Tamandua tetradactyla: one gene and its partner. The protein of the gene in region 2 purifies or fractionates together with the protein of the main gene of each other region. This does not show direct contact. Links are inferred from orthologs where the notes say so. Each region holds a gene or a part of one and is shown on either strand. Other genes may lie near its edges.

Evidence for each region. Proteins that work in one complex are often made in the same cells at the same time.
Region 1: the proteins of EAPP (region 2) and ECD purify together in Homo sapiens (affinity purification with mass spectrometry; 3 studies listed by BioGRID and IntAct, counting the BioPlex papers as one, with this or other methods). This does not show direct contact. The link is inferred for Tamandua tetradactyla from reciprocal best matches to the Homo sapiens genes EAPP and ECD.

Annotation. Positions count from the first base shown.
Region 1 is NC_135339.1:23,439,275-23,446,184, forward strand, and holds the start of ECD (protein ecdysoneless homolog), read left to right. Parts: upstream 1-3,897; 5' UTR 3,898-4,148; coding exon 4,149-4,177; intron 4,178-4,236; exon of another isoform or gene 4,237-4,301; intron 4,302-5,385; coding exon 5,386-5,603; intron 5,604-6,910. Other genes in the region: primary cilium assembly protein FAM149B1, read right to left, coding at 3,612-3,658. UniProt on the Homo sapiens protein: Regulator of p53/TP53 stability and function. Inhibits MDM2-mediated degradation of p53/TP53 possibly by cooperating in part with TXNIP. May be involved transcriptional regulation. In vitro has intrinsic transactivation activity enhanced by EP300.
Region 2 is NC_135340.1:19,477,188-19,485,034, reverse strand, and holds the start of EAPP (E2F-associated phosphoprotein), read right to left. Parts: upstream 3,015-7,847; 5' UTR 2,899-3,014; coding exon 2,825-2,898; intron 1-2,824. UniProt on the Homo sapiens protein: May play an important role in the fine-tuning of both major E2F1 activities, the regulation of the cell-cycle and the induction of apoptosis. Promotes S-phase entry, and inhibits p14(ARP) expression.

The DNA.
Region 1 (6,910 bases), on a different chromosome or scaffold from region 2:
GGGCTGTCAATAATATGGGATGGGGACAGAACTAGCTGATCATCTGGAGAGACCGGCCCCTCTGTGTTTCAGGATTTATCTGGCCTAGGAACCCAACTGGAAGTTGAAGGTTTCTGGAAAGTAATCATAGTGCATGGAACCTTATAGAATCTCAGATAAAGCCCTAGGTGTTCTCTAGGGTTGGCAGGAATGGTTTTGGCTGAGGTTTGGCAAACCACAGTAAACAGCAATATCTAGCTGAAGCATGTGTAAGACTAGCCTCTCAATTCTAACTGAACTCTCTCAGCCACAAATTCAAAAGAATTGTGTACAATTTTTTTTTGTACACAAAAGAATTTAGTATACTAAATTCTCTGCCATTTTGACCAGAGGAGGGTCCCTTCGCACTACTGTTTATATATTTATGTTTGAAATTTCTCATTAAAAAATGGTAAGTTATTGTTTACTAGTTTGCTAGCTGCCGGAATGCAACACACCAGAGATGGATTGGCTTTTAATAAACGGGGATTTATTTTGTTGGTTCTTCAGAGGAAAGGCAGCTAACTTTCCACTGAGGTTCTTTCTTACGTGGAAGGCACAGGATGGTCTCTGCTGGTCTTCTCTCCAGGCCCCTGGGTTCCAACAACTTTCCCCCGGGTGACTTCTTTCTGCATCTCCAAAGGCCTGGGTTGAGCTGCAAGTGCTGAGATGAGGAATGCCGAGCTGCTTAGCTGTGCTACGTTGTGATCTCTCATTTAAGCACCAGCCGATTAAGTCAAACGTTACTCATTGCAGCAGACACGCCTCCTAGCTGACTGCAGATGTAATTGGGAACACATGAGGTTCACATACCGTTGGCTTATGTCCGCAGCAACAAGATTAGGTATGCTCACCTGGCCAAGTTGACAACTGAATCTAACTAACACAGCATTATATTAAAATTACTCTTTCCACACTCTTTTCAACATCTATAATCTGGAACTGTTAGTACAATTCTTTTCCCCCTTTTGATCAGTAAGACATTGTCTATCCCCCAGTGTTAGAGCCAGGTTCAACCCTGGGAGTCATATCCTACATTGCCAGAAAGACTTTCACTCCTGGGTGTCATGTCTTCACTCTTTCTTATTTCTGTCCCTTAAACTGGATGATTTAAACAGTCTTATCAAAGAGTTTAGAGAATAGTTCCAGGCCAAAGCTTAGGGTGGAGACTTCCTGGTCCTTTCTACAGAAGTTTCTTAGGCATGCATGTGTAGCCCTAGCAATTTCTCCAGGTTCTGAAAGTCCCCACTTTCCTAAGAAACAGTTTCCTAGGCACTGCACAGTGTGTCCTACAGCCAGGAATCCCAGGCAGCATGACGTGACTGTTCTCCCACAGCATTGTGTTAGAGAGTTCTATGAGCTGCCTTTTACACACACAGGAAGGTTCTGGGACTGTGAGCCTCTTAGGCCAACATGTTTGGGTCAGACATACATGTTTCGACTATGAGCATGAGGATTACCTCACTTCCTCAGGAACCAGGACCATGGCTCTGCACTGGGAGTGTGGGCCAGCTCCATGTCAAGCTAGAGGGGTGCCAGAGTTGCCAACCACAGCACCATAATATCCTACGGCTTTTAAGTAGTCTATTTCTTGATTTGAAACTCACCCTATTATTTTATTTATTTATTTATTTATTTGCATGGGCAGGCACTGGGAATCGAACCCAGGTCTCTGGCATGGCAGGCGAGAACTCTGCCACTGAGCCACCGTGGCCCGCCCTCACCCTATTATTGAAGTCTTTTAACTGTTTCCTGGAGCTTTGAGGAAGACATTTTCTGCCAGTTCTTGCTGGTGTTCAAAGCTTCTGTGGGGAAATGGGGACCTGAAGAATCCCACTCTGCCATTTTGATCAGGGGACGGCCCCTTTGCACTATTGTTTATATATTTCTTTACGTTTGAAATTTCTCATTAAAAAATGTTAAGTTATATATTAAAATTACTCTTTCTACACTCTTTTCAACATCTATAATTTGGAACTGTTAGAAGGAAAATTAAAGTTAATACTGTAAAGCAGATCATCATTATAACACCAAAAACAAACACTGCTCTTAATTTATAGTTACTCAGATGCTATATATCTTAATTATTCACATCATCCTGACTCTTCTAGAAAGTCATCTTTTGGCAGTATGAAATTAATAACAGAGAACAAGAAAGTAACTAGACAGTGTCAGTAATTCTGGCCCTATAAATATCTATTAACATTTTAAATTTTACTTTCAGAATGGTCAGAATTCATTATAAAAGCTGATTTTTACCTATGTTCACCTTATTGGGAAAAGATTGCTTCTTCTTTCTAGTTCCTAAAGAAGTAATTATATGAATTGCTATTGCATGCATATCCTACACCTTAGTAAAGGACAGCTTCTGAAAGGCCAGGAGATGTCTTGGACTGATTTTTTTCATATGGCTAGTGTATTAAACAAGGATGGGGAGGAAACAGGAAATATTTATTGAATACCTACTATATGTAAAGTGCTGTCACTTTACATTTACATTTTACTATGAAGTAGGTTTTATTCCTATATTACAGAAATTAAGTCTCAGGGATTTAGTAATTTGCCCAAGAGTCACTCAGCTAGAAGATAGCATAGCCCAAAAACCTAAATATAACTCAAAATATCATCCTTTTGATTACCCTATATAGTTAATATTTAATTAACAAATATGTGGTTGCTTAAACTATAGCTTAGTGAAGAAAAAAATTTGGATTTGGGGTCAAAAATCCCAAGTTCAAATCCTGACTCTACTTACTATATAATTTGTATTAAGATATGTAACATTTATGATATGGTTTTGTTTTCTAAAACATTGAAGATAATAATACTCATGTTAAAGACTTCTCATGAAGATCAAAATGTGAAAGTCCTTTTGAAAACATAAAACAATAAATGTAAGAAATTAACATTGTGACACTTAACTAGGGAGTGGGAGGGGGTATTTAAGCCGGAAGTCTTTACTCTCAAGTCTCAAATGCAAAACTGAATCTTGAGGATTCGGAGATGGGGAGGTAGGATGTTATGTTAAGACTTATGACCACTCTTAGAATCAGATGGACAACCAGATTCATTCTTCAAACTGCATCGCTTGCTGGCTGTGTAACCTTTGGCATGCTACAATCTTTCAATCAGGGATGTTTATCTGAAGAACGTACAAAATAACAGTCCTATCTCATATCCTTGCTGAGATTAAGGGAGTTAATGCACGTAAATAGTTTAGCATGATGCCACGCACCAGATATATTTAACTTTATTATTTTAGTACTCAGTTAACTATTATTAACTTCTGCTAATAACAGTGGGCATGAAGCCATGTGGAAGCTACAAATGCTTTAGAAGACCGAGTCCCGGAGCTCATGAAATGTAGCCCAAGAAGGCCAAGTCCTAGGATATCACGGGTGACACGTTCCTACCTGCAGGCAAAAGGGACAGTACCCAGCAGGGCCGGGGAGAGAGAGTTCCGAAGAAAAACCTCTCTCCTGCACCCTGGGAAAGGAAAGCACCGAAGGACTGACCAGAAAGAGTCCCAGAGCGCCCGGGTCCCACCTCAGCCTCCCCCCGCTCCGGCTGGGATGGCTGAGCAGTCCACTCACAGATCCAAGTTCTGTGGCGCCGCCTTCCGAGTGTACCTTGAGATCATCCTCCTCCTCAGTCGCGGCCGGGGCGGGTACGCCAGGGTGGGGGTCGCCGGGCCTGGCCCTCCAGCCGGCTCGGCCCGACCCCTCCCTCACCTTCCGGTCTCGTCCCGCCCCGTCGCCTAGACTTCGGACCACCACCTCCCCAGGGTGCCCAGCTCTCTAGTCGCCCGCCCTCCCTCGTTCCCCGCTGGGAGCGGAAGTGACGAATGTATCCGGGCACCCGCCTAAAGCTCCCGCCGACGCGCGGCAATGACGACGCCTGGGGGTTCCGGAGACTGAGGCGGTTTCTGAGTTTCTCTCCAATCTCACGTCCGGGGCTGGCGTTGGGCTAGACTTCGGCGGCTCGTGGCGCCGAAGAACCCTGATTCCCAGGGGGAGCGCCTGGAATTGTCACGTGGTGGGAGGGGGCCGCGGAAGAAAAGTCACAGCAGAGACACACTGAAGAGGCCCCTGAGCTGTAAGAGGAATTGGCTTCATTTTGTCACATGCAGGATGGCCTGGTCCGGAAGTGAGCCCTCTAAGTGAGGCCCTTGCTGCTTAGTCGCTTCTCTTTGGGTGTTCTGGTTTTCTCATCTATATAGAGAGGAATTAACCTGGATGATCTCAAAGTCCCTTTAAGTTCTAACAGAGTAAATTTTGCATAAGGTGTGCTTGACGTTGGGGGATGGGTCGGTGGGTAGAATTATTGCCTGTGCTTCTGGGTTGAAAGGCAAAATGATGATTTGGGCACACCATGGTGAGTGAGTATCTGTATAGAAGTTACAGGTTCTTTTCGACCTTGTTTCTTTATTCTGTTAGAAAGCCGAGTAAACCTAAGAATCGAGGGGTGATCCTCCATACTTCCTTTACCAAGCATCACCTGGCAGCAACCTAGGAGGTAGAGAATTGTCTCACTTTCCCCAGATTTCTGATGGAGTACTCATTTTTGAGTTTGTTAATCTATACTTCGAACCTATGTTTTCATTCTACCATTTTGAGAAGTAATGAGTTCTAGAGGCATTAAAGTAGCACTTTTATTTGTAAGGGAAAACCCCTTAGACAATAAACAGATTAAAAGGCCTTATTTACCACCCTTCAAGATTCCAGAGCTGTGCCCCCTGAGACTTGAAAAACAGGCAAATTTAGGATCCAGAACCATGGGCAGATATATTCTCTTTAGAGACCCACAGGGAATAACCTGTATTTCAGAGTGAGTCAATAGGACGTGAATATTTTATAATTTTGAATTCCCTTATGCTCTACAATGTTTATAGAAGGGAGAGGGCTCTGAAGAACATTTAAATAATAAAGTTTTAAACTGGGGTCTGATTTTAGAGATAGTAAGCTGTAGAAAAAGAAAGTGAAGTATTCAAAGCAACACAGCGAATTAGTGGAGAACAGGAACTTTTGATAGTGTTTAAACAGTGGATCTTAGTGTAGAATTTCTCAGAGCATGCTGCACACAGTGTGAGGACAAGCATTTTTAAATTTTATTTCACACTTAATTTGGGAATGTTATACTGGATTTCCATTGATATTGATACAATGTTTTTAAGTATAAAAAAGTTATTAAAGTAATTTTAGCTAAATGTTATACTCGGTAGATGATCGAGACAAAAATGATGATGGCATGTGAATAACTGAATTTTGGAAAACAGTATTAATGGAATCACCTAGGGAGAATGCTGGGAATGGGATGTTACTATAATACTGTTTTATATGGTTTACATTATTGAAATTTTAAATACAGTTTTCAAAGAAATATGGAGAAAACTATGAGGCTTGCTACAGTAGAAGACACTGTGGAGTACCGCCTGTTCCTGATACCAGATGAACTAATGGATCCAGAAGAACACAAAGAGATTCTTCAGAAATATGTTGAGAGAATAATGACTCAGTTTGCACCTGTGCTGGTTCCCTATATCTGGCAAAATCAGCCTTTCAATCTCAAATACAAACCTGGGAAAGGTAAAGCTCTTTTACCTAACTTGATATGTATGACTCTATTATTTCATTCTGGCAACAGTGATGTGCAGTAATAGTCCATAGTTCAGTCACTGTTGTCAGGAAGGTATTTATGTCTTGAACTTTTTATATAGTGATGCTTTCATACTTTAATCCTTAAACTTGAAAAAAGTTTTTGTTTTTTTTAATTTATGTTGATGAAAACCTTTCTAATAATCATTACTTTAGGATTAGCATATATTCAATTGTATTAATCTCAGGACTATTCTTTTGAACTTTTAATTACTTAACTATGCCATGATGTATATATGTTTCTATACTAAACAGGTTCAGATAGTCAGCTTCCTTAACCATGGTTCCTTTTGCTATTATTCAGTATTCCTCACTCTTGGTGATGTGTTTAGTAGGCTGCCTTATCTCACATAGTTGTTTTGGTGGGAATCTAAGAGTGGCTTTGCCCAGGAATTATGACCACTATTTGACCGGGAGTTATGACCACTGTTTGCCACTCAGAAACATTTTGAGTTTCCTTCACTACTTCCCTGTTTTATTCGTTTTTGAGGTACCTGTGGCTGAATATGGTACTTTAAAAAAATCATTTCTTACAGATTTAGTAAAATAATTCATGGATAGGTGACCAAAGCTCTAGTCCCCTGTGACTTATGTGGAGTCTTACTTGGAATCAAAAGCTTCGCATGTTGTGCTACCATCAGTCTGACTCAGTTTAGTGCTTACCTCTGTGCCTTTACAAATACTGTTCCCTCACACATACTGTTCCCTCTTTCTGTAAAGCCCACGTCTGATCGTTCTTCCAGATATCACCTCCTTTTTGCTCACATAGCTCTTGGTGCATGTCTATTGTAGAGTTCATCATCTCATTTTAAGATGACTTGCTTCTCTCTCTCTTTTTAGACCTTGAGCTCCTTAAAAATAGTCATCTTGTATCTTGTTCATGATCTATGTTTCTGTTCACTACTTCCCTGTTTTATTGATTTTTGAGGTATCTTGTATCTTGTTCAGGATTTCAACCCCACTCCTATTATAGCACTTGAAGCATAGTAGTTAGTGAATGTTGTTCAACTGAATGATCACATATATATTTTTTATTTTTATTTTTTTATCACATAGTTGTATATTCATCATCAGGATCATTTCTTAGAACATTTGCATCAATTCAGAAAAAGAAATAAAAAGAAAACAGGAAAAAAATTCACACACACCATACCCCTTACCCCTCCTTTTCTTCGATCACCAGCATTTCAATCTACTAAATTTATTTTAACATTTGTTCCCCCTAATATTTATTTATT
Region 2 (7,847 bases):
ATGAAAGGGAGGGGCAAGGGGTATGGTATGTATAATTTTTTTTTCTGTTTTCATTTTATTTTTCTGTTGTTTTTTTACTTCTTTTTCTGAATTGATGCAAATGTTCTAAGAAATGATCATGATGATGAATATGTAACTATGTGATGATATTGTGAATTACTGATTATATATGCAGAACTGAATGAGCATATGTTAAGAATGTTTGTGTTTCTTTCTGGTAATATATTTTTTTAATTAATAAAAAAAAATTTATCTGGAAGGGCAGTGTGCCCCAAATAGCCAAAAATATCCTGAGAAAGAAAAATGAAGTTAGAGGTTTCCTACTGAAAACAAAATAAAATAAAATAAAGTATCAGTGGCATAGAGTTCAAATAGAGTCAAGAGGCTACTCTGGAGGTTGCTCTTACACAAGCTTCAGTTAGACCTTGCTACCTACCATAACATGCCAACCCCTAACTAGGACCATTCCAGCCAATCCTAAAGAACACCTAGGGCAATATATAAGATTCCACAAGGGTTCCAGACACTAGTGTAACTTCTCAGAAATCTACAACCTTCAGATGGGACCCTGCTGCAGATAAGTCCTGAAACCTAGCACAGCCTCTCCAGAACATCAGATAGTTCCATCTCCCTATCCCGTATTAGTGACAGACGCTTCCAAAATCAAAAATTTAGAATTGCCATAGCCCAAATACCCTAAGGAGAGGTATGGAAATTTCAAAGGTGATGGTGGAATTATATATAGAAGATAGGACTTAACAAATGAATATGAATGCTGAATCACTAAATTGATATCTCTTTTAGTCTGCAGTTATTTTAGAACAGCTAGAAGTAAAAACCTAAAATTGTGAAAGCGTAACCCACGTCAAAGTCTGAAATATGTTCTACAACTAATTGTGGTGCTGTGCTTGGAAATTTATAGTTTTGTACATATATTATTTTTCACAAAAAAAGAAGGAAAAAAGTCGACTGTGATGATAAAAAAAAGTATTAAGCCCTCTAACCTCCTATATTCTGGAGCAGCTAAAAGGAAAAATATGAAAGGATCATATGGAAGCCCATGACAAACTCTGGGATCTATCCTGTAACCACTTATTGAAGAGTGCTTTGAAAACTACTGCTTTTTTTATTTCTTTGCTTTGTATATATGTTACACTATACAAAAAAAAAAAGTTTAAAAAAATAATTACTAGGGCAGGCCATGTTTGCTCAGTGGCAGAGTTCTCGCCTGCCATACTGAAGACCAGGGTTCAATTTCTGGTGCCTGCCCATGCAAAAAAAAATTTACAAGATTGCATTTGATACATCTATCATACCACATGCAGCTTTTCTCACTTCATACAGCAACCATTTCTGCATATTTCAAAATATATTCTTTTTCCCTGTTCTTGAATTGTTTATACTCCTGTTAGACTAGCAGACTAGAAAAAATTTTAAACATAGTTTAAGGGAGGGTACCTAAAATATAGTTGTTTCATTCCACTCTTAACCTTGCTGCCAAAAATGTCCTTCCTAAAGAATTCTGATCATGTCATTATCCAACTTAGACCTTCAATTGGCCAAATCTCTGAGAATAGCATTGAAAACAGCCTTCCACAATCTGGCTCCAACTTATCTTTTCAACTTCACCTTTCACTATTATTCTTTCTCTACCCCAACTGGAGCAACTGGCAGAGATTGCAGCTAAATATTTCTCAATGCAAAGGACAGCCTCCCACAATCAAGAATTATCCAGACCAAATGTAAATGGAGTTAAAGTTCAGAAATTCTCACATGCCCTATACTGCAGTGTTTCCAAAGTGTTGGATGCAAGAGACAATTTTAAGCAGTACCAGGAACTAACAACTTACATGTTGATGGGAATGTAAAATGGTAGGCACTGTGGAAAACAGTTTGGTAGTTCTTTAAAAACTAACATGCAACTACCATACAACCCAGCAACTGCACCAACGGGCATTTATTCTAGTGAAATGAAACTTATGTTCACACAAAAAACTATTCATGGGCCTTGTGTGTGATGCTCCTTTTATCCAGGGTATGGGCAGATGAGTAAAAAAATAAGGGACACATAGATAACAGGGGAGACTGGGGGTAAAAAAAAAAATCAGATGGAAATACTAGTGGTCAATGAGAGGGAGGGGTAAGGGGTATGGGATGTATGGGTTTTTTTTCTTTTTATTCTTTTTCTGGAGTGATGTAAATGTTCTGAAAAGCTCTTTCGAGATACATATTTTGTCTTATTTTTTCTACCATACCCTAAGCCTGCAGAAGTTAAGGCTCTTGTGGCTGACCTCTGGAGTCAAGTAGTAAATAACAGGTACTCAAAGTCTGTGCAATATTCCTTATTCCCTCGTATTTCTTAATGGAAGTTTGGTCTTCAAGATGGGCATTTCATGCCCCGTGAACCTCACAACAAACTTACAACACAGTTACTGTATGTCCATTATACAGGTGAAAAACCGAGAATAAGTAACTTGCCTTAGGTCACTCCGCTAGCAAGCTGCAGAGACACGATTCGGTCTCACCGCTTTTGAAGATTTACACGTAGCCCCACCCCACCCCCCACCCCCACCCCCACCCCACCCCCACCGTGATTTCCGTAATATCGACCTGCCCCGCGGCGATATCGGCCCCGCCTCCCGGGGCTGCGCGATCCCCACCAGGAAGCTCCCTCAGTCTCCGACAGGAAACCGCTGGGCACGTCGGGCGACCGAACTCCAGGACCCAGAGTCCGCACAGGCCCAGCAGGCGCAGCAAGAGGAGGAGGAGGAGAAGGCCCGGCCGTGGTCGGAGCCTCGGGGACTGGGGCGGGACGGGGGCCCACCTGCTTAGAGCCGGCTCTTCGTCGCTGGGCTCTTCAACCGCATAGGGGTCATAATCATCCAAGAGCTTGTTCATGGTGGCCTCCACCCGCCGACACAGTCCACAGGCGGTGGGCAGAGGATGTTTACTCCGCCGTTCCCTTCCCTAAAGCGTCGCCGACTCCACTTCCGCCGCACGACCGCGTCCTTCCTGCGCACATGCGCAGACAGGCCCTGCGAGGGGAATCTGTCCCAGTGTAGCACGGTTATCCTCCGTGGGTTGTGCTTACAGGGAACTAACAATTCCCTTAATCCTCCCAAGATAGTCATTGGTACCCTCCTAAGTGGCAGTCTCTGAGGTAAACACTCGATATGTAGTGTCACATTTCACCTGCGTGAGGTGTCTTGAAGCAGAAATCTAGATGCTGAGGGATATGAACCCTGAAGCCAGTCGTCCCTAGATGCTGATACCCGATCTCTCTCTACACTCCTGGCCTCAAGCTCTTTCTTCTAGTTTGCTAACTGCCAGAATGCAACACACCAGAGGCAGATTGGCTTTGAATAAAAGGGGATTTATTTCATTAGTTCTTCAGAAGAAAGGCAGCTAACTTTCAACTGAGGTTCTTCCTTATGTGGGGGGCACATTTGATCTTGCTGGCCTTCTCTCCAGGCCTCCAGGCCAACAATTTACCCGGGATTGATTCCTTTCTGCATCTCCAAAGGCCTGGGCTGAGCTACGAGTGCTGAGATGAGGTATGCCAAGCTGCTTGGGCTGTGCTGCATTGTGCTCTCTCATTTAAGCACCAATTAATTAAGTCAAACATCATTCATTGCAGCAGGCATGCCTCCTAGCCGACTGCAGATATAATCAGCAGGTTCACCTACCATTGGCTCATGTCCACAGCAACAGAACTAGGTGCCTTCACCTGGCCAAGTTGACAGCTGAATCTAACTACCACACCCTTCTGCATTCTTTCACTGAGCAGCTTGCTGCCTCACTTTTACACTACTCACTCCTCTCTGTCTGACTTCAGCCCCAGCTGTCTACCAAAAAGTTGCTAGGCTGTCACCAGTCACCTCCATGGCCTTTTCTCAGTCCCAACCTTTTCTTAGCACTCATCGGATCCCATTCTGTACTTGAGAAGATGAGGCAGATGACAAACTCTTGATCATGAGATCACTTCCTTCTCTATGTCTGTACCAGCCTGTACTCAGTTTCCTGCCTTCTACCCAGACATTTCTCTTGCTCATGATCCCATCCAGATGACACATATCTTTGGTCCCTGTGCTCTCTTCTGATAATATCTTGGATTTTCAATTACCTGCTGCACCACTGGTAACTCAAAGTCCCATTCAAACCTGATTCAACATTTTCCACTCCATTCCAATTTCTCAGCCAAAAGTTACTTGTGACACATGATTTCTGCTCATGTCACTTCCTGCATCCTCACAACTACTATAAGCTGAAAGTCTTGAAATCGTGCTTGACTCCTTTCTCTGCCCCTTTATAGGTCCTCAATTCCCAAGTCTTGCAAATTTCTTTTCAGCCTGTCTCATCCACACCCCATTTCCCCACCCCTTACTGTGCTGGTTTGAAAGGATGTATGCCCCCTAAGAAAAGACAAGTTTTAATATAAATCCCATTTCCTAAAGGTAGAATAATCCCTATTCAATACTGTATGTTTGAAACTGTAATCAGATCATCTCCCTGAATGATGGGATTTAGTCAAGAGTGGTTGTTAAACTGGATTAAGGGACGACATGTCTCCACCCATTTGGGTGGGTCTTGATTGGTTTATTGGAGTCCTATAAAAGAGGAAATATTTTGGAGAATGAGAGATTCAGAGAGACTCAGAGAGAGCAGAGAATGCTGCAGCACCACGAAACAGAGAGTCCACCAACCAGTGACCGTTGGAGATGAAGAAGGGAGACACCTCCCGGGGAGCTTCATGAATTAGGAAGCCAGGAGAGAAAGCTAGCAGATGATGCCGTGTTCACCATGTGCCCTTCCAGCTGAGAGAGAAACCCTGACTGTGTTCGCCATGTGCCTTCTCACTTGAGAGAGAAACCCTGAACTTCATCGGCCTTCTTGAACCAAGGTATCTTTCCCTAGATGCCTTTGATTGGACATTTCTTTAGACTTGTTTTAACTGGGACATTTTCTCGGCCTTAGAACTATAAACTAGCAACTCATTAAATTCCCCTTTTAAAAGCCGTTCCGTTTCTGGTAATTGCATTCCAGCAGCTAGCAAACTAGAACACTTACCTTGACTGTTAATATAGTCTAATTGACAGCTTTGCTTTGTTCTTTTCCCCTCTACAATCCATGCTATTGTCCACTGGCAGAGTAATCCACAACACAGCTCTGCTCTGGCTGATTTCCCTCCTAAAAAGTCTTAATGTTTCACCTTTACCCGCTGAATCTGTTCACCTTAGCCTGCAGTATCCTCAGCCTTCCACTATATAGTTCAATTCATCCTGCCAAACTACCCACTACACCCCTATACATACCCAGTATGATTTTCTGATTCCAGAATATTTTATGCCTTTTCACCACTAAGTCTTTGCTAATGCTATTCCCTTGAAATACCACCCCTCCTACTTGTATTTTCAACTGTTCAAACCCTACCTGTCATCCAAGATCCACCTACAAGCACCAGATGGGTCAATAGTTGGATGGAATGACCATAAGGATACCTTCCACACTGTACCTCTTCTATGATGCCTTTTCAGATTCTCCTTCTACATGGGATCTTTTCCAGCTTTGAGCCTTTATAACATATTATACTACTCTCATGCCATGTATTTCTCTGGTTTTCAACTGTTGTTCCACCGAACTCTTTTGGGAGGTACAATATTCTCCCTTGAGTCACAGTGATGTGATGGAGCTACTTAGTGGGATGCCTTTTTTTTTTTCTGGGACTCCTGGCCCTATTTAGGGGCACATCCTTACGTTCTATAATGAATGAATCCATAAAAACGGGACCAGTTACATTCTTGCTCCCATCTAATTAAAATTAAGAGTTAGTGATTCTATATGACTGCTGTGTCATCATATTGATGTTTCTTTTAGTCTCTAGTGTCTTGGAGCAGCTAGAAAGAAAAACCTAAAATTGTGGAACTGTAACCCGTACCAAATTCTGAAATCTGTTCTGTAAAAATTTGGTACAATGTACCTTGAATTTTCTTTTTTTTTTTTTTTCACGTGGACAGGCACCGGGAATTGAACCCAGGTCTCGGGCATGGCAGGTGAGAGTTCTGCCGCTAAGGCACCGTCGCACTACCCTATACCTTGAATTTTATTGTTTTTTCTATATAGGTCATATTTCACAATAAAAAATGTTAAAAAAAAAAAGAGTTAGTGATTCTAGAGAATTGACTGGTGTTCCTAGGACTTGTAACAGGGCAAGTAAACTCAGGGGCTGAAGCTGCCATTTTGAGGTGGCTCTTTGGGGGTTATATGTGATAATGAGCAAGCAAAGAGAAGCAGGAAGATGGGACAGAGAGAAAAGCAGAGAGGTTTCCTGCAACTCCCTTGTCTAAAACAGTCCTTACCCCTAACTTCTACTCTGTAGCACATCTTCCAATCCCTTAATCTGCTTTTTTCCCCCTTTTACCTCATATTACTTATTTGTTTGCTTACTCTCTTGTCTTCTTGCTCTGCTGGTCTATTGCTACACAGAAAACCACACTGTAGATACCCAGGGCCAGAGCCCCTCCTCTGTATTGAGAATAAATCACTGAACATAGCTGCCTACATAATAACCAAGACAGAAATTAAGGCATCGACTCTCCTCGGGAGGAAGGGTGGAAAAATGTATACATGGTATCATAAACAAAGCATTAAAACTCCACTCCTTTGATCACTGTTTGTGTGAATATGTGATGATAAAAGAAAACCTTTTCATGCAATTTAGCTCTCCTGGCTTTCTTGGGTGATGTACGAATGGTGGAGGGGGTGGGCCCATTCAGAGAGTGAAGGGAGCACCCCCCAGGGAGCAGGAAGTGGAAACTCAGAAAAGGCCAGAGTGGAAGCAAGAGGAGAGATGTTCCAACTAGCTGATATTAAGTTTCCCTTTTACTTGATGGGGAGGGGGTCTTAGAAAGTGGGGAACAGATGTGCATTGATTACCATGGTCTGCTTATCTACTCTGATAAACTCTCTGGGACCCAAACTGGTTTATCCCCAGGTGTTGCCTGTCTGCAGTTCTGTAGGTGCCTCCCATTGTTCTGCCTTCTAAGAAAGACCTGCAGATCAACTGGTTTTGTCTTCTAGAAAAATCCTTCTTGGAAAGGGCTCTTCTCCCGGCAAAACTCTCCAGTGGCTACCACTGGTTTATTTTGTCAGGAGGGCTAGTAGCCTCCGTCAGTCATTTTGTTCCATTTTTTATTTTCATTTGTCTGGTGTTTCTTTTCGTGATTGCACTGAGGTTCATTGGGTAGCTGGCCCTTGGAGTGCAGTTACTCTCTCCAAGCTGGGATGTCCATTATTGTTACTTTCAGTCTCAGTTCACTAGAAAGAGCCCCACTGCTATCTTATTCTCCTTTCTTTGCTGACCTGTAAGGCTGGGAACCTGGAGCAGGCACCATTTGAGTTTTCTCCAGATGGTTCTTGTGCAGGTTTGAAAGGATGTATGTCCCCTAAAAAAGCCACATTTTAATCTAAATCCCATTTCAAAAAGCCAGAATAATCCCTATTCAATACTGTATGTTTGAAACTGTAATCAGATCATCTCCCTGGATGATGTGATTTAGTCAAGAGTGGTTGTTAAACTGGATTAGGTGACGACATGTCTCCACTCATTTCGGTGGGTCTTGATAAGTTTCTGGAGTCGTATAAAAGACGAAACATTTTGGAGAATGAAGGAGATTCGGAGAGAGCAAAGAATGCTGCAGCACCACGAAGTAGAGAGTCCACGAGCCAGCGACCTTTGGAGATAAAGAAGGAAAACTCCTCCCGGGGAGCTTCATGAAATTAGAAGCCAGGAGAGAAAGCTAGATGATGCCGTGTTCGCCATGTGCCCTTCCAGCTGAGGGAGAAGCCCT